Linked DNA regions of Nothobranchius furzeri. The protein of the gene in region 4 interacts with the protein of the main gene of each other region in a biochemical or structural test. Links are inferred from orthologs where the notes say so. Each region holds a gene or a part of one and is shown on either strand. Other genes may lie near its edges. The genes, in order: ddo, pex13, pex12 and pex5.

What was found.
Region 1: the proteins of pex5 (region 4) and ddo form a complex in vitro, tested with the Homo sapiens proteins (2 studies listed by BioGRID, with this or other methods). The link is inferred for Nothobranchius furzeri from reciprocal best matches to the Homo sapiens genes PEX5 and DDO.
Region 2: the proteins of pex5 (region 4) and pex13 form a complex in vitro, tested with the Homo sapiens proteins (3 studies listed by BioGRID). The link is inferred for Nothobranchius furzeri from reciprocal best matches to the Homo sapiens genes PEX5 and PEX13.
Region 3: the proteins of pex5 (region 4) and pex12 form a complex in vitro, tested with the Homo sapiens proteins (2 studies listed by BioGRID). The link is inferred for Nothobranchius furzeri from reciprocal best matches to the Homo sapiens genes PEX5 and PEX12.

What each region holds. Positions count from the first base shown.
Region 1 is NC_091758.1:20,540,756-20,545,345, reverse strand, and holds the start of ddo (D-aspartate oxidase), read left to right. Parts: upstream 1-1,570; 5' UTR 1,571-1,709; intron 1,710-2,435; coding exon of another isoform or gene 2,436-2,517; intron 2,518-2,599; coding exon of another isoform or gene 2,600-2,683; intron 2,684-2,774; coding exon of another isoform or gene 2,775-2,858; intron 2,859-2,991; coding exon of another isoform or gene 2,992-3,159; intron 3,160-3,249; coding exon of another isoform or gene 3,250-4,012; exon of another isoform or gene 4,013-4,034; intron 4,035-4,590. Other genes in the region: zbtb24 (zinc finger and BTB domain-containing protein 24), read right to left, coding at 2,436-2,517, 2,600-2,683, 2,775-2,858, 2,992-3,159, 3,250-4,012. UniProt on the Homo sapiens protein: Selectively catalyzes the oxidative deamination of acidic amino acids. Suppresses the level of D-aspartate in the brain, an amino acid that can act as an agonist for glutamate receptors. Protects the organism from the toxicity of D-amino acids.
Region 2 is NC_091752.1:7,648,859-7,653,124, forward strand, and holds pex13 (peroxisome biogenesis factor 13), read left to right. Parts: upstream 1-1,284; 5' UTR 1,285-1,387; coding exon 1,388-1,461; intron 1,462-2,062; coding exon 2,063-2,775; intron 2,776-3,008; coding exon 3,009-3,131; intron 3,132-3,568; coding exon 3,569-3,906; 3' UTR 3,907-4,139; downstream 4,140-4,266. UniProt on the Homo sapiens protein: Component of the PEX13-PEX14 docking complex, a translocon channel that specifically mediates the import of peroxisomal cargo proteins bound to PEX5 receptor.
Region 3 is NC_091758.1:14,500,402-14,504,864, forward strand, and holds the start of pex12 (peroxisome assembly protein 12), read right to left. Parts: upstream 3,045-4,463; 5' UTR 2,874-3,044; intron 2,802-2,873; exon of another isoform or gene 2,799-2,801; 5' UTR 2,681-2,798; intron 2,470-2,680; 5' UTR 2,447-2,469; coding exon 2,324-2,446; intron 2,248-2,323; coding exon 1,712-2,247; intron 182-1,711; coding exon 1-181. UniProt on the Homo sapiens protein: Component of a retrotranslocation channel required for peroxisome organization by mediating export of the PEX5 receptor from peroxisomes to the cytosol, thereby promoting PEX5 recycling.
Region 4 is NC_091745.1:74,169,204-74,173,010, forward strand, and holds part of pex5 (peroxisomal biogenesis factor 5), read left to right. Parts: intron 1-207; coding exon 208-298; intron 299-510; coding exon 511-633; intron 634-2,577; coding exon 2,578-2,691; intron 2,692-2,993; coding exon 2,994-3,077; intron 3,078-3,807.

The DNA.
Region 1 (4,590 bases), on a different chromosome or scaffold from region 4:
TGTCACGTCCTTTGAGTGATTCTGTCACGTTTATTTGAGTGATTTTGTCACCTTTGTTTATGCTTGTGTGGACTCGGACCAGAGAAGGTCCGACGTTAGCACCAGAGCTGAACAGCTTTAACCGAGGTCTGATCAACGTGGTTAGTCCGGGCAAAACCGGACATTTTCCGAAGTTTATACCGGATTATTCCAGGCAGAGACCTGAAGCTGCAGTCGTAAACCGGCTCAGAAACGCGCAAATATTCCTTTTAGCTCATCTCAAGCACCGGCTGCTACATTAGCTCCGGGTGGAGGGGCGACGTAACGACGTACCATACCGTTTAAATTCCCGCTATCCCGACAAATTAAATTACGAGAACCTGTGGAAGAAATACCGTGGTCGAAGAGGTTAATTCCCCTAGAGTTAATGCGTAAACGCCTGATCAAGCAATCAAGGCCTGACGCTGACGTGTTTATACAGTTAGCTGTTGAGCCCGGAGATAAAACACTGAAGCTCCTTCAGGTTTTATCGACAATCCGCCCCAGCGAGTACGCGTCTCCAATCAAATCCCTTCAGGGTACACATTTTGGTTTATAAACCGCCGCGTTTGAACAAATATACTTATAAAAAAACGATCTAATCAGCTGAGGGTTATTTTATGTCGAAGAGATTGTGACCGGAAGTAACGCAATAGTGTCTTCTTCTCTGACCAAATTCCTTCATCGACCGGTACCGCCACCTATTGGCAGGTATTAGTCCGGCAGCTTCAGCAAAAGCTTATTAAACCCAGTTCATCGCAAAATTAAAGGTTCTGTGGAGTCATCAACAAGTCTGCAGACCGGGATAAACTTTTGATGGATTTTCTAACTGAAATGAAAGGGGACATTCAACAGCAGCTCTCCAATTTAAACCAGAAATTCCAAACTTTGGATGAAAAGATTATATCTTTAGATAAAAGACTTGATGCTATTGAGAATGCTTCCTGCCCTGGAGAGGTCTTAACCCTTTCTTCTGCTGATCTGCCTCCAGATATGGAACAAAACCTGCAACCAGATAAGCTGACTGACTCAGATTTTCAAGAAGCTGGAAAAAATTCAAATTTTGCCCTAGCGACATCACATGACATGCAGATCTATTGGCGTAAGGTCAAAGGTCATTCTCGTGCACCCGGAACTGACAAGGATCTGAACAATCTTGCAGACTCTCATGCCAAACAATGTGCAGCTGTTGGTACCCCATGGTCCTTCAACCCCTTGTGCTACCCGACGATGTGTCCTTTCAGTCAGACCCACCCCGTGTGTGTGTCGTGGCTCGAGCTCAGGCCTCTAACGCGTCCACTCCTCGACCATCCGATGGCGTTGTGTCTGTTCAACCGGTCTTTTCTGAAAACAACCTTGTCAGTCTTCAGTCCCAGGACCCTGCTATCAGCAGGATGATCCTGTACCTTTCTGATCCGACAGCTCATCTGCCTTCTTCTGTTGAGCTCGACTCCGTTCCTGAGCTCCGTGCTCTCTTTCGTGTTCGTGTCATTCCCTCTTTAGGTGTTGTTAACTACAACGGCGCCGTCAGAGTGACCATTCTGTCCGCAGCCTCCAAGGTCAGTGACACCCACAGAGTCTGACGGTTGCAGTGGCACTCCACCTGAGACTCCAGTTTCTTCTACGGACCTCGGTGCCTAGAAGTCCGAGGACTTCGACATTCCGTATCTATCAAAAGTGTCTTCGAGTAGGTATGTAGACACACAGATAGCGTCGGATGTGTTTTGATAATAACCAACTCCATAGCTCAATGCAAACCAAATTCTTTTACATCCAGAACTCAGCTCTCCTAGACACGGAAGTTCTGACTAACACCATTCACACATAGGTTCCTACATCACATCTAGTTCCATCCACTCACAGTAAATGCTTAGTTAACTTGTCATGTTTTAACTGTTTGTAATAATAAATTCGTACTTTTATAAACCTGACTCTTTTCTGAATCAAAACGAAGTGTGTACAATCCCCCTGATAAAGCAAGAATCCTAGATCTTCTGACTAAACACCGTAAAGACCAAGCAGGGTTGATATTCTATATTTAGATAGAGTACCACAGCCTATTGGTCAAAAGTAGAGGTAATATATATCTTGAGCTCTTAGAACACTCAATTTGCCAAACCCTACACAGGCTCTGTTGCTACTTGACTTGAAAGTAATATATGGTTGTTGTTTTTTTGTCAAACAATGTGGAACGTTTAACTTTTTGGCTGATTTAGCATCAGTTGGCTCCTGTTAGCATTAGCTCATTGTTAGAGCTAGCTACAGCAGGCTGTCGCATGGATGTTCAGTTGTAATTCCACATTCAACCAGTAGGAGGGGGAAACTTATTTATTTAAGGAGAGCTTAGAACTGAACAGGATGTATGAAAAACACTTCACTAGCAGGCTGCACACGCTACACGATTCCTGTCTGCTCACCTGTGAATCCTGATGTGAGTCTGTAGTGTGCTCTTGGCTGTGAAACGTTTCCCACAAATCTCACAAGTGAACGGCTTCTCGCCTGTGAAAATAAGGATTTAAAAAAATATAAAAGTATACAGTCATTTTATTAGGGCTCAATCAACAGCAGCAGGTGATGTCACCTGTGTGAGTTCTGAGGTGCTTCTTCAGCTGGGCTGCATCCATGAACCTATGATGACACTGAGCACACTCTGGTAATGACTGACCTTTGGGAAAACATGAAAAAAGAAGGAATTGTGCAGTTTAAAGTTTGAAAGTACAGCAAATAACCCGTCACAGGCTTTGGCTCGATCTTACCGGTGTGAACTCGGTAATGGCTTTTAAGTTGCTTCTTCTGATTGAACGTCTTTCCGCATTTATCACAATCAAATAATAATCCAACTAGGGGAAAAAAATGCAAACAAAATCATTTAAAACCTGTACCAAAATATCAAAAACAAGACCAAGGCCTTTATACATGTTTGTAAAATGCTTATAACAGAATAAAACTGGTTCTGACTGGATCTGATCCTACCTTCGTGGAGGGTCATGTGCTCTTGTAGAGAGTGTTTGGTAGAAAGTGCTTTGGAGCAGATGGAGCAGACGAAGGGCTTTTCTCCAGTGTGGATGCGCTGGTGAGCCAGCAGAGTGTGCTTCTGGGTAAACTTTTTCCCACAGACCAAGCACAGGAAAGGTTTCTCTCCTGAGGGAAAACAGAAACGTCATCCAGGTGTTCGGCAAACAAATGAAATTGATGTAGTTGTGGATATTTTACTGGATCTGAAGACGTTACCAGTGTGAGTCCTTTGGTGGATCTTTAAAAACAGGTGGTGTTTGAACACTTTCTCGCAGTCCTCACACCGGGCCTCTGTATTGGGGTATTTTCTTCTGCTTGCACTCCTCCCAGATTCTTTACTTCCTGTTTCACAGTCAATTTTGTATCCCTTAAATTTCACCGGCGTCCTGATTTTGCGTTTGCTGAGATGTCGCTGCTCAGCTTCAGAGTCGTGATCTTTGCTGTGTGTAGACCTGGTTTCCTTGTCTTCAGCATGTCTGTCCACTGAGCTCTCTCCATGCGCTCCTGCACTTTTCTTTGGTCGTCCTCTTTTGCGTTTCGTCAAATCTGCCCCCTCTGCTCTGCCGGCTTTTATGTTGTCAGGTTTGACCGCTGCTGTAGAGCTCGTGAGCTCTGTGAGCACTTTGACCAGCTCGCTGACCTCCGTGAGATGAGCCGCAGCCAGAAGCTGCTCCATGGCGCTCTCCTCCACCGACACCTGGGCGCTGTAGATGAACTCTAGTACGGCAGCAAACATCTTCGCCGCCATGCCGTCCAGCCGACATGTGGACTTTTGGTCTTCTGTCGTGAACATGTTGGAGAAGAACTCGCTGCTCGCTGCCAGCAGGGCTTTGTGAGCCTTGAAGTGAGCGTTTTCCACAACAACAGTGACATCACACAGCAGGTCCCTTTTCCTGAGCTTGTCAAATTTACCCAGAATGCTCTGCTTATGTGAATCTGAGTAAAGAGCCAGGAAGGACGAAGACTTTATCTGAGACATCTCCTCAAAATGTCCGCTGTTCCTGAAATGATAAAAAACTTAAGATATCAGCAAATAATTGGAATGTTATTAAAGAAGTCATTCACTCATGTTTTTAATACGTTGGACTCTAGTAGGAATTAGGGCTGGGCAACATCGATATTTTTAAAATATCGATATAATTTCAAACAAGAAACATGATGACTATATTGATATAACTAGTCAAGTCGCTAGCTTAGTAGCTAGCGCTGGCTGCTATGCTACACACATATATAACAGACAGCTGTAGCAGTGTTTCTAAAGCTCAGACTGGTAGAGAATGGGCAGTTAAGGTTAATGTTTGGCAATAATCAATACATTTAATCTACTGATGAATTTATGTAGATAAGTTTCTCAAGACAGCATGAAGGGAGCTAACTTGTAAATCTTTTAAAGGAGGAAAAATATTGAGATAGATATTGTATATCAGAATTCAGCCTAAAGATATCGAGATACAAGTTTTGGTCCTTATCGCCCTGCCCTAGTAGGAATGAATGCATTTTAAATCATACTCTGGAGGACCAAGCTCAGATGTTTCAGCATGGAGAGATCAGTTGGAG
Region 2 (4,266 bases), on a different chromosome or scaffold from region 4:
AATATTTAAATTTTAACTAAGATGCACTGAAGTGCCAAATTATTGACGACACGTGTCTGCAGCACGATTAGATACTCGTTTATTTGGTTTATCAGCAAAAAAATGTTTATTGGGGGGTGACTTGCTCTTTAATGAGATCACAGAAATGTAATGTTTTCCAACAAACAGAAATAATTTAACTGAATATCCTTTTTCTACATAAACCTCCGTTTTTTACTGGTTCTCCTTTTTAGATCAGATGTTTAAACTTCCAGGTAAAGTTAAATTGGATGTCTGATCTTTCAGTTAATTTTTTAAAAAGATCATAGTAAATTAGTTTTCATCTTTTCACAAATGAAAATGTTCCTCTGAATCCAGCTTTCAAGTAGGTTTTGATTCTTTTGCAACAGCATGAAAAACAGGTTTTTGTTGGGTTTATTATTATTTTTAATCAAGAAGGTTTTTAGGTGCAGAAAATTATAAAGAGTGAAATCCTAACGTGACAGTACACACGTATGAGCTGTGAATCCTATGGATTTTTGTTATCAGAATTTGTTTTGGTTAAAAGATTCTGATGTTAAAACTGCACTCATGCTGTACTGCTATCCTTTTCCTGTAAGATATTATTGTAAAAACATCACTAAATTATCTGTTCTTCCTCATGCAGATGTGGAGTTGTGCCAAATAAAACATTTTAAAGATTATGTCAAGAAATAAATGTGGGGTGACATTGAGAAGAGTGATTTTTGTATTGATTTTTTTGTTTTTGTTAGTTGCTTATTTACTGTAATATATTTTACAAATATTCTACAAAGTTCGCTGTTTAATCTGATGGGAGTTTTCCATGTAAACAAAAGTGCTGTTGCTATTTGCATTTTTTTACACACACACACACACACACACACACACACACACACACACACACACACACACACACACACACACACACACACACACACACACACACACACACAGATATTAAATTTTATTATATTTACCTTTAACCTGCTGCTGAGAGATAGTTTCACATTTCTGTTATTGTGTGTAGCGTCCTCTGCTGGCCACTTACAGATTGTTACGTTAACGCTGATCGAAAGAGAAAATGATTTACAAATTGTAATCCTCTGGAATAATCTCTGTTTAGTCCAATAATGTTTTGAATTTAAAAGGCAAATTAAACAAATGTGTGCATTTTTCCTGCGAAATAAATTACCACATCAGAGGTTTAGCCTTTAGCCTCGGCTATTACCATTAAAACCACAAGGGGGCAGAAAAGCATCAATGATTCATACTTGGGTTAAAGAAGGTAAGAATTTAGCACCAACGAAGAAGAAGGCCACAGTAGAGACAACTTGGGGACGAGGGCAAATATTGCTATATTTCTACCCTTGCGGGCTAATATTTAGCAATGGATTCTCAACCTCCACCTAAACCGTGGCAAGGGCACATTCCAAGAGTTATGAGTGCGCCAGTAAATTACAGGTAAATAATAATGTTACTTGCTCGCTCTCGCGTGTTTACCTGTCACAGCTGGCTCGTAAGTTAGCCAAATGCTAACGCTAATGATCAAGGGCCACTATAAACAACATGTTCAATCAAAACCAATGTCCTTTTTGTTCGGAGCTCGAATAACGACTTAGTTGTGTTTCAGCAGCTCATAAGTTGTTTACGACAACCGTTTAATCAAAATGTAGTTAGCTAGAGCTTCGTTACAGCGTTTTGTTGCTTTGCCTTTAATAAACGTTAAAGCCACTCACAGCATTTACTGTTTTTTACATTAGTGTACATGTCCTCTAACTTTAGATTTTTGCCCGTCTTTTGTGGTTTTAAATGCCTTTTATCAACACGCCTGCTCTGATCCACTGATTTTACACGCTTAACTGGCATTAGCCCAAAGCAGAGCACTTAAAAAGAGAAAACGCTGGCAGCGAAGGGTTTTTCTGATCAGGAAACGGCTGGCAGTGAATGAGTGAAATTATTTTAGCTTCTTTTCAACAACTCTGGTCATGCATGTTTTAGTTCTTCCTGAAAACGCACAGGAAACAGCTGTTCTGTATCTTAGCTTGTTTTTCTCACCAAATAGGTCTACCGGCTTTGGGCCCGCTGCAGGAGTCGCCTCCACTTCTGTGGGTCCTCCTGTCCTGACCAGGATGGCTCCTCCAGTGCCCCCCCGGCCTGTCCAGCAGTCCTATCGTCCATCCTACAACTCCTTCATGCCTTCGCACAGTCCGTATGGGAGTTCCTTCTATGGCGGCTACAGCCCCTACTCTTACGGTAGTGGATTCAACTCAGTGGGCTACAGACACTTCCCCCCCCGAGAGGACGTTGTCCCCAGCCGGTTTGTGCAGCAGGCCGAGGAGAGCAGCCGTGGTGCCTTCCAGTCCATTGAGAGCATCGTCCAGGCCTTCTCTTCGGTCAGCATGATGCTCGACGCCACCTTCTCAGCGGTGTACAACAGTTTTCGAGCGGTGCTGGATGTCGCTAACCATCTAACGAGGCTGCGTGCTGACCTCACTAGAGTTCTGTCAGCTTTTGCTTTTGTCCGAACATTGCGTTACCTGTACAGATGGTTGCAGCGACTTCTGAGGAGGGGGCGGCCAGACGCAGATGCTGAGGACTTGTGGGCTGACAGCACTAGTGATGTTCTTGCTACGAGTTCATCTAGAGGTAACGGAGCAGGCGCTGAGGATCAGCGTGTGAAGTCCTGGCCGGTCTTCCTGTTCTTTGCTGTAGTCCTCGGCGGCCCCTACCTCATCTGGAAACTTCTCAGCTCCAGTGCTGCCAGTGAAGAAAACAGTAAGGCTTGTGTTTCATGTTCTTCTGTCTCCAAACCTGCTTCTGTGTTTATTCCAACTCATTATTTGATGTTTAAAGCTGTTTTCTGACACAAGACTTCTCAGTAAATAGACTAGTAAAGACTCAGTGGTGACAGACGGGCGAGAATCAGTTCAACTTGGACTCCACAGCTTGTACAACAACACTAACCGTTGTCTTTACCTGCTTTCAGTGAAATTGTTCTGTTTGTTTAGCTACTGACTGGGCCAGCGGGGAGGACGATCACGTTGTGGCCCAAGCTGAGTTTGGGTTTTCAGCAGCTTCTGAGGAGGAGCTTTCTCTGCAGGCTGGAGATATGCTTAACCTCGCCCCTAAAGGTAGAAGCTTTGAACATAACCTGTCTTCGAGTTTAAACTGGTTTAAAAAAGCGGCATTTGTAGTTCAAAATATGTGAAAAGTATTACCTTCGTGTGGTTTTTATCCCTTTCTGTGTCGTCCACTCAGGTTACTTTTAAAATGAGATTTCATATTTTGAATGTTGTATGATATTTTTGTTGATGAAGATGTTTAATTGAACAATTATGATTTCAGTTTTCACTTTAGGAGAGTTTCTAATCTGTTTTAAGCTCTGACACAGAAACAGAATCCGCCTTTGTTTTGTTTTTTATCTCCAAAGCTATAATCTGAAAGCTTCAACACATCGTCTCAGACAAGCCTGTTTTCATAGACATCCTGCGACAGTGTGACGTTCACTGTCCAGAACATTTTCTCAACTTCTTCGAGACTAAAACTTGTTTCCCCTCCTCGTGTTTAGAGCAACAACCCCGGGTGCGTGGCTGGTTGCTCGCCAGCGTTGACGGTCAGACCACAGGTCTCGTTCCTGCCAACTACGTGAAAGTCCTTGGCAAGAGGAGAGGGCGCAGGCATGCCGAGATGGAGAGGCTTGCTCAGGTTCAGCCAGGAATGGCGCCGGCTTCTGCAACGGCCTCGACTCCGCAGTCGCACTCGCCTGCAGCTCAAGATTTTAACCGAGATCTTTCCACGGCGTCTGCAGAGCAGCTTGAGTCGGCGTATGGAGCAGCGCCAGCCTCTTTCAGTTCCAGCATGTCCTCCGACACATTGATAAACATCCCGGAGAAGGATGACCTGTGACGATCGAGTCTGAACGAGAAAAATGTTATTCAAACACTGTTTTAGTTCGTCTGAGATTAGCTTTTCATTTAATCTGTCTGAGCTTTAGGCGTCTGTGTTTGTTGAGTGAAGCGAAAGGACTTTGATTCATTCAGAGATGTCTAATTTTTCCCAATTTTATCGGTTAATCAATCACTCAATGTAAATATTTAACTTGATTAGTTTAGGAAAAGGAAATATATTTTCAAAATTAAGCATTGTCTATTTGTTATATTTTCACTACAACAGTAACTAAATCTTACAAACTCAATCATGACAGGAGATTTAAAACACACAGAAATGTGGTTTCTGTACAGGTACGTTTTTTAATAATTTATTAGA
Region 3 (4,463 bases), on a different chromosome or scaffold from region 4:
GTGGAGGGGGGGAGGGGGGGCAGGCAGGGTGGTGAGGGTTTTCACACAGATCTGGTTCTCTGAGGAGTACCACCAGTCCAGGAACTGCAGGAAGAAAACGCCCAAAGAGAGGGAAGTGGAGAGAGAGATGGCCACCCCCTTCGCCGTCTGAGACACCAGCCACCAGGCTCGCTGCAACAGGCTGCAAACACACACGAACATTGACCCATCAGTCAGTACAGTGTTGCCCTGATCAAGAAGGCTCCTCCGGTTGGTTCTGATCCACTTTCTGGTCTCCACGCTGGAGTTTAGGAAGCGGTCGGGTTTACAGTTTTTCTCGATTCCTCACATTCTCCAAACAGTAAACACACATCCATAACATCTCACCCAACTTCCCAAACATCACATTTTCAGGTCAAAATGAAGCTCTACACTCAAAACCTTTCACTCTTGGTGAAAAACCAGACTTGGCCTACAGACATCACACACAAGGCCTCAAAAACACACACATTACAACATAGTAGTACACATTGTAGCTGTTGCTCTTCCACACAAACATTTCTACATGATGAACACGTGGTGCTCATGTAAGGTTTGTAAGTGGTTACTTTTAATAACTTATCTATAGAATATAAAGGTATTCAATACAATGTAATATTCCATTAAAGTATGGTTTATCAATATTAACCCATTCACTGCCAGCTGTTTCCTGATCACTAACGGCCTTCGCTGCCAGCGTTTCTCACCGTTTTTACTGTTTTTTTAAGAGTCACAGAACGTTGCGCGCTAGCATGATGTCGACGCCAAAACAACCAAAACAAAGAGGAGACTCACCTCTTACATCAGGAAGAAGCCGCGTGTTTCGAGCGTTATCCGTTCTTTCATAATCCGTTGTTGAATTGTGATCGGCAGACGCTTTTCCGGTTCGCGCCTCACTTTTTTTACAGAAACGGCCCAAAACGATCTCCTAACACATGGATGTGATGCTTCCTGAGCATGTGATCTGTGACGTATGCGGATGAAGATCGGCTTCAGGGCTGAGATGTTTGTTCTCTGAGCGCGGGGGCTCGTTGCGATGCTCAAACAGTAAAAAAATGCAAATGACGACTTTAGTCGTCAATGGCAGTGAATGAGTTAATGAACCTTTGATGTTCGATTGATGATTGTAGGTACTTTGGGTATAACATAACATAATGCCACATACACACACACACACACACACACATGTGGCTGAGACCGCGATGCTTTTATAACCTACAGCCACAGAGATGTGACAGGCTCAGCCTCGCCTCAAGGCTGCTGTGGCTACATCGTAGCTCATCACCATCAGTGTGTGAATGTGTGTGTGAATGAGTAAATGATACACTGTAGTGTAAATCACTTTGGAGTCCTTCCTCTGAGAGGCGCTTTACAAGTGCGGGTCATTTATCATTAATTTATCATTTACATGGGACCTTTCACCCATTGGTCAGACGGAGTTCAAACTGCTGTTGTCAATTAGTGTAGAATAATTTAGAGCTGAAGAGGGCGCTGGACTTAAGGTTTTAGGCTGAATTTTAAGTTTTTAAAGAAAATGCACCAAAAATAACAACTAGACATGTCTACAACACTACAATACACTTATTTATACAAGTTATCAGCAAAAAACCAGATTTTGGTGTGACTTTCTCTTTAATGAACTTAACTGTATTGGAATGTTTACGGTGCGAAGTCATAATCAAGAGTAAAGTACCTCTTATCTGCTGTGGGGCCGATGCTGCTCATTTTCTGCTCCATGACTCGAATATCCTGAGCACTGAGGCGAGCCAGCCGGACGTTGGCAAACCACATCAGGGGGCTGTGAGTCCTGGTGACCCCAAACACAAACAGCAGCTGCTGGCAGAAGATCCAGGCCTGCCAGGCTGAGCTGACATATGGGTAAGCTGCCACTGCTGCTCGATACAGCCGCTCTTTCCGGGTCTGAGCCAACCTGATGGAGAAGTCCTCCTCATCCCTCTGCCGTGCCAGCCTCACCTCCAGCTTGGCCCGTAGGTACGGAGCCAGGCACAGAAGAAGAAGAGAAAGCCAGCGGGACCTCCTGAGCAGACCTAGGTGAGCTGGAGGTGCCTGCTGGCCTGAAACCCTCTTCAGACCATAGAAGTTCTCCGAAAAGGAGGCGCTGCAGTGACGCAGGAAGTGGTTCTGGAGGATCAGGTCCAGCAGCAGGTACAGTTCATCAAAGCTTCTCCACAGGAAGCCAAAGTGAGACGGGTTGGATTCAGCCAGAACCTGCAGGGCCACAGACCTCTATGATGTTCAGAAAACATTTGTGCTTGTGCAGCAGAGCTGAGTGCAGCACACCTACCCTGACGGCATGCCTCAGCGCTGGTTTCACTGCCTCCATCAGTGACTCCTGGGCCAGAACTTCAAAAATGGAGGGCTGCTCACCGACAGCGGCCGAGGTGAGATGGGCTCCAGCCTCCGCCATGGCTGCTGCTACAGAACCGGGTCCTAAAATCCAAACCACTCTGAACTCAAACTCACCTTTATTCACAACAGGTCAACACAAAGTGCTGCTGTTCTGTAACATTTATATAAATTATCATGTCCGTTATGTTTGCTAGCACGAGTAAAGGTGGAATAAAGCGCTCTTCTGTAGAACCGGTGCTTATGATCACGGGAGTGTTTTAATGTGTGACTGCACACTTCCGGCGACACTCACAGGTGAACTCTCCTGGGTTCTCTCCCACCTGCAGCGGCACCACGGGCATGGACATCTAGACAGTACCCCTTCCGAACCGTCACCGTGCTAGTGGTTCCGGTCCATTGCGCGTTCAGACCTACTACAGAAACACATTTTTACAGGATTCTAAATAATTTAATGCTTTCTGTTTTTCAGCGGTGGACAAACTCACGTCCGGCTGTCTTCTCCGGCTGTTGGCAAGAAGCTAACAGCGCCGCGAATCCACGACAGAAGCGCTAAAGCTGCGTGAGACCTTGCAGCAAACGTCTGAAAGATTGTTCTGTCGCCGCTCACTCCTGTAAATTATTTACGTTATTAACCATTAAAGTCCATTCCAGCTGCTTCCGGAACCGGAACTTCTTCTACAGCTGCAGCGGAGCTTACCGCCACCTACTGGATGTGCGGGGAAGTGTCTCATTTAGGTTTCCTTTTTTCCAATTGTCCTCCAGCTCCATTAAACACGAGTGTTGGCAGCCATCAAGCGCATCTGCTGTCATTCTCCCGAGCTTCACCATTTAGTTTAACCCCTAGAATGCCAAGCCCTTTTAAAACAGACACAGGAATAAATATAATATACTTTATTAATCCTGCAGTGGTGGCGTTTACTCGTTTCAGCAGCACATACACATGGAGAAAAGGAAGCAGAAAAATAATATGATTACAGATAAGCACACAAAGGCTATTATTGTAAACTTAAAACACTAAAAACAACAAATAATAAAGGAAACTTGGGTTTCCAGAAATAAATGATAAATGACCCGCATTTGTATAGCGCCTTTCTGAGTCAGAGGACTCCAAAGCACTCTACATTACAGTGTATCATTTACCCATTCATTCACACACAGGTGGTGATGAGCCAATCAGAGAGCTGGGAGGGGGTGAGGCACTTTCCCGCCTTCTGACGATCAATAAAATGTAAGTTAAGTAGAGATAGGTCAGAAAGATCAGATACAGCAGTCTGTTATTGGCTCAATATTCGGCTTTTTATATTCACTCCAGTGAGACTTGATTAGAGTGATCCTTAGTTCCTTCTGTTGCCATGGTAAAAAATGTCAGTTATGTTGGTAGTTTTAAGTGTAGAGAGCTCAGAAAACCCAAAAACAGCAGTAGGTTATCGGCTCAGAATTAGACTTTCTACATTATTTCCAAGAGACTTGTTTGTGGTGATCCTTGGATACATGCGTTGCCATGGTAATCTATTTCTCAGAATCTGGTTAATTATAAGGTACAAATAAACCATGCACCCACACATATTCGATTGTCAATGGACATCAGTGTATAAAAGCGCAATCCTGTCCTGATGTTTGAATAGATTGTAACTAGGAAAATGGAGGCTCCAGCCCCTTCCGCCCAAGACTACATTAATGTGCACATCATAATTTACAATTAAACAGCATTAGCCCCGCTCAGTTGGCTTCATTAAGAATAAATAAATATATGATGCAATTTATACATCAATAAAAAATCATTTTGGTCAATAATATGTCTTAAAGAACCGCATTGACCTGAATATAGGACGAGGTTTTTTCATTGAAAATAATTTTAAATGTGGGGTCGTCTTATAATCGGGGTCTAAGCTTTCACACATGCCGATATTTATCTGGGGTCGTTACACGACCAAAACAGCAGAGGGCGCCAGGCTGTATGTTCTCAACCGGAGAAGAAAATGGAGACGGGAGGTCTGCAGCAGAGTGGATTGAAAGTGGGGCAAGTGAACAAGCTACCAAGGCAGAGATATGATGCTAATTTTAAGATGACGGTG
Region 4 (3,807 bases):
TATACTGAGCTTATTGTGAGAAAAGCTCTCACTGAAGCATTTGATCAGAACGAATGCTCATGTAATGATTATCGGCCTTGGACTTCTCTTCACTGGCAACTATTTCAAAGTGCTGCTTTCAGCCTGAAATCATTTATTCCAGCCTGCAGAACCACGAGTAAACAGAGCTCTTACTGCAGCGTGATGGTGGTATTTTTGATCTGACAGGACAAAGGAGTATCAGGCTGAGGATGAGCTGAGACAAACGGCCAATGAGCTTGTCTCAAAGGTCGACGACCCCAAACTGCAAAACACCGAGGTGAGCAGCGTTTCTTCCACCCGTCGGGGATCCTCTTTATGCTGCACATCATTCGTTTTTACACATCTGTCACCATAATCTTCCTCTTCTGTAACATTTTCAGAGTAGATTTGTTTTTGTGAGACTGTTGTTTTGGTGTCGCAATCAATGAGCTGCTAATTTGCGAGACCTGACGGGTTAGTAATGGTAAATATTTTTTTGTTGTTGTGTAGTTCCTGCGATTCATTAGGCAGATTGGCGAGGGCAGTGTGACAGTGGAGAGCAGAACAGACAAACAGCTGACAGATAAAGTTCAGGCCGAGGAGGCTCAGAACTGGGCCTCCAACCTCAACCAGGTATGAGTCACAGCCCACTGAGGAGGGGGTGGTTTCAACTGGGAACACGTTAGAGTTCGGGTAGCGAATTGGCTCTTTTTTTTTTTTTTTTGCACAGCAAAGGCTCTGTCTCGTGACTCATCCCCTCAGTATCTGTACAAATTTTCCACAAATGTAACCAAATGAAGCCACGTTCTCCCTGTAATATGAATCTCAAGCCTGTAGAGAAGATGTGTTCTGCAAAGAGGACGGCTTCTCCTCGTGTGAGGGTAGCTCTTTGTTCCTGTGTCGACTCCGGCCACGGCTTTCTCAGAGCTGCAGCGAAATTTCCGAAATTCTGGTGCCAGATTTTATTTTTCAGCTAAGCGTGGAAGACCGTATCTGCCAAGAAACAAAGAAATACTAAATAAACAACAAACAGTAACTAGTTTATTGAAAAAGAAAACATAGAAGCTTGCCAAACTGGAAAAGAATAAAGGAGAATTGAAATGGCAAGTGGCATAAATGAAGATCAGGAGCTTTCCTTTACTTCAGCTTTTAAAAATTTAGAAGTTGACTTTAAAATATCAACTTTACATTTATTGTTCAGGATATTTGGTCTAGTAATTAAAACAAAACTTACAAGTAGTTTTTCTCCATCTTTAAAGTAACACAGAGCAGGTTCCTGCTCCTCCCCCTACTGGCTGAAAGTGGAATTACAATTGTCGTAAACAACCCTGCTGCAGCCTGCTGTAGCTAGCGCTAACAACGAGCTAACACTAACACGAGACAACTAATACTAAAATAAACCATGAAGTAAAAAGATTCACACTGTTGGACAAAAATATTACTTACAAGTCCCGTAGCAACAAGGCCAGGTCACCATCAGTCCGTGGCTTTTGTAGCCTCCTTCAGCTCCCTCAAATTTGTGTAGGCCACGCCGATGTTCACTCTGGTTTTAGCTCTTTGCTTCACCTCCAAAGACATTCCTCTCTTACTTTTACTTCCAGGCTCCGCCATGACACCAGCCTTCTTGTGCTTTTTATTTGACGATCTGCATTCTGAAAATGCTAACCGCTAGCATTACAGCTAACAGCCATAAAACAGGTTAAGACCACCCTCTACAGGGCACCTACCCGCTCCACAAAATGATCAAGCGTGGTTTTTGGCCAGCAGAGGGCTGCAGAGTGGTGTCAAAGATTAAACTGATCAAGTTTCTAACTCAATAATCACTGAGATCAATATTAAAGCTCCAGCTTAAAGAATCTATCTGTTGTTACTTTAACCCTTCAAAGTGTAAAAGGCCGAAACGCCCATCAGTTTCTTGCTCCAACACACCTGATTCATTGGATCAATCACCTGTTCACCAGGCTCTGCAAAGGCCTGTTAATCACCTGCTCATTGAATACAGGTGTGTTGAAGCAGGGAAACTACTAAAACATCCAGGATACCGGCCATCCAGGACCAGGATTAGGCACCCCTGAATGCTCTTTTTTTTTTCTTTCTTGCAGACTTTTATAATTTACTTCTTTTAATTTGTTTATTTAGAATTTAAAAGTGTTTACTGTTTTCCCCTTAGCGCTATCGCATTGGTCCATCATGGCTTTATGTTGCATTTGAAATGGTTTAAGCCCAAATTCTCTGTCCTAATTTGTTGCTTTTATTCCTTTATTTAATGCTCTCTTTTTCGTCCTTTTCTTGGTGAAAATGGGTTTAGACTCTTAATCCTGCTTTGCTTGGACTGTTTATATTCTTTCATATCCTTTGACTTTGACACATACTGTTCCCATTTTTGACCAGCCTTCAAACTCTTGGCTTGGCATTCCCTCAACAACAAAAAACTGCTTTCATTTCTTACGATTGTGTTTAAAACGATGCTTATTCCACCCACCCTTCCAAAACCAAACCTCCCCACCAACTGCTTCCTTCCCCTCAAAAACGATGTCCCCGCTTGTCACCGCCACCCCTCCTCGCCTCCCATCGTAGTTCCTGACGGAGACGGGGGGAGGGAGTCTTCCCTTGGAACCTCCAGAGACGAATCACCAGATTGACAAAGTTAAAGCTAAACAAGCAGAGCAATGGGCCAAAGTCGTCAGGCAGGTAGGCCCTTTGGGGTCGTGGCAGCAGAAGGTGTTTATTTTTTGTGTTAGAAGTTAATTTTTGTCTATTTTATTCCTACGTGAACATTTGAGATGCAAGTAGCGTCTGATGCTGCTAGAAGTAGAATTAGGAAGAAGTAAAAGCGGGTTGTAGCAAATTACCTAGTCTCTGCTTTCATCGCTGCTTCCTTTATGTTCTGGCTTCATCTCGCCTGTTTTTAAACGTCCCCATCCTTCGTTCTCGTAGGAGTTGGCGTGGCCAGTGAGAACAGACTCGTAGCAACCGTTGTCATTTCTCTTCAGGTTTCAGAGGAGTCGGCGGAAGCCTGGGTGGACGAGTTCGCTGCATCTGGGCCAGATTTTCAACAAGCTAAAGCGGCGGTGGAGGTAAATGTGAGAAAACCTCTAACCCAAATGTGGGGTATAGGGTCGTCACGGTGTGAAAATTTAACCTCACGGTTATTGTGACCAAAATTATCACGGTTTTCGGTATTATCGCGGTATTTTTTTAAACGTGTTAAATTTTCAGACCACTAAATAAACCCTGCTGTATGTCAGGAAAAGATTGTCCGCAGTTTGTGTCTAAATTTTGTAGGGCTGCAGCTATCGAATATTTTTGTAATCGAGTACTCTAATAAATTACTCTTTTGCGTTTTGTAAACCCTTGTATCAAATAGCATGTTATAAAATATGAAAGACCTCTTGAAATGAGCAAGCAATTGCCAGTTATTCTTCAAGTTTTATTCAAATTTAGTTTTCAAAACTTCAGCACTTCAACTTTACGTCACAGTAAACAAATTCAAGCGGCTGCAGCCCAAACAGAACCAGAACCGCTCACGGCGCATGCGCAAACATGGCTCGCCAGCTGTTTCCCTATTAACACACGTCCGTTTTAATTTCTACACTTTTTTTCTCACACTAACAAGGATTGTCGAAAGCATGTTTACCGTGGTTATGTCAAATTATACTGATCACAAAACATTTATTTACTTCCTTTCGTTTTCCTCCGCCGCTCATAAATACCGGTGTCCTCCTGCAGCAATCCTGAGGGAAAACAGACATCAATAACAACACAGTGAAAAGTCCGACGTGTTGTAAAAACTGTTATTTTTAGCAC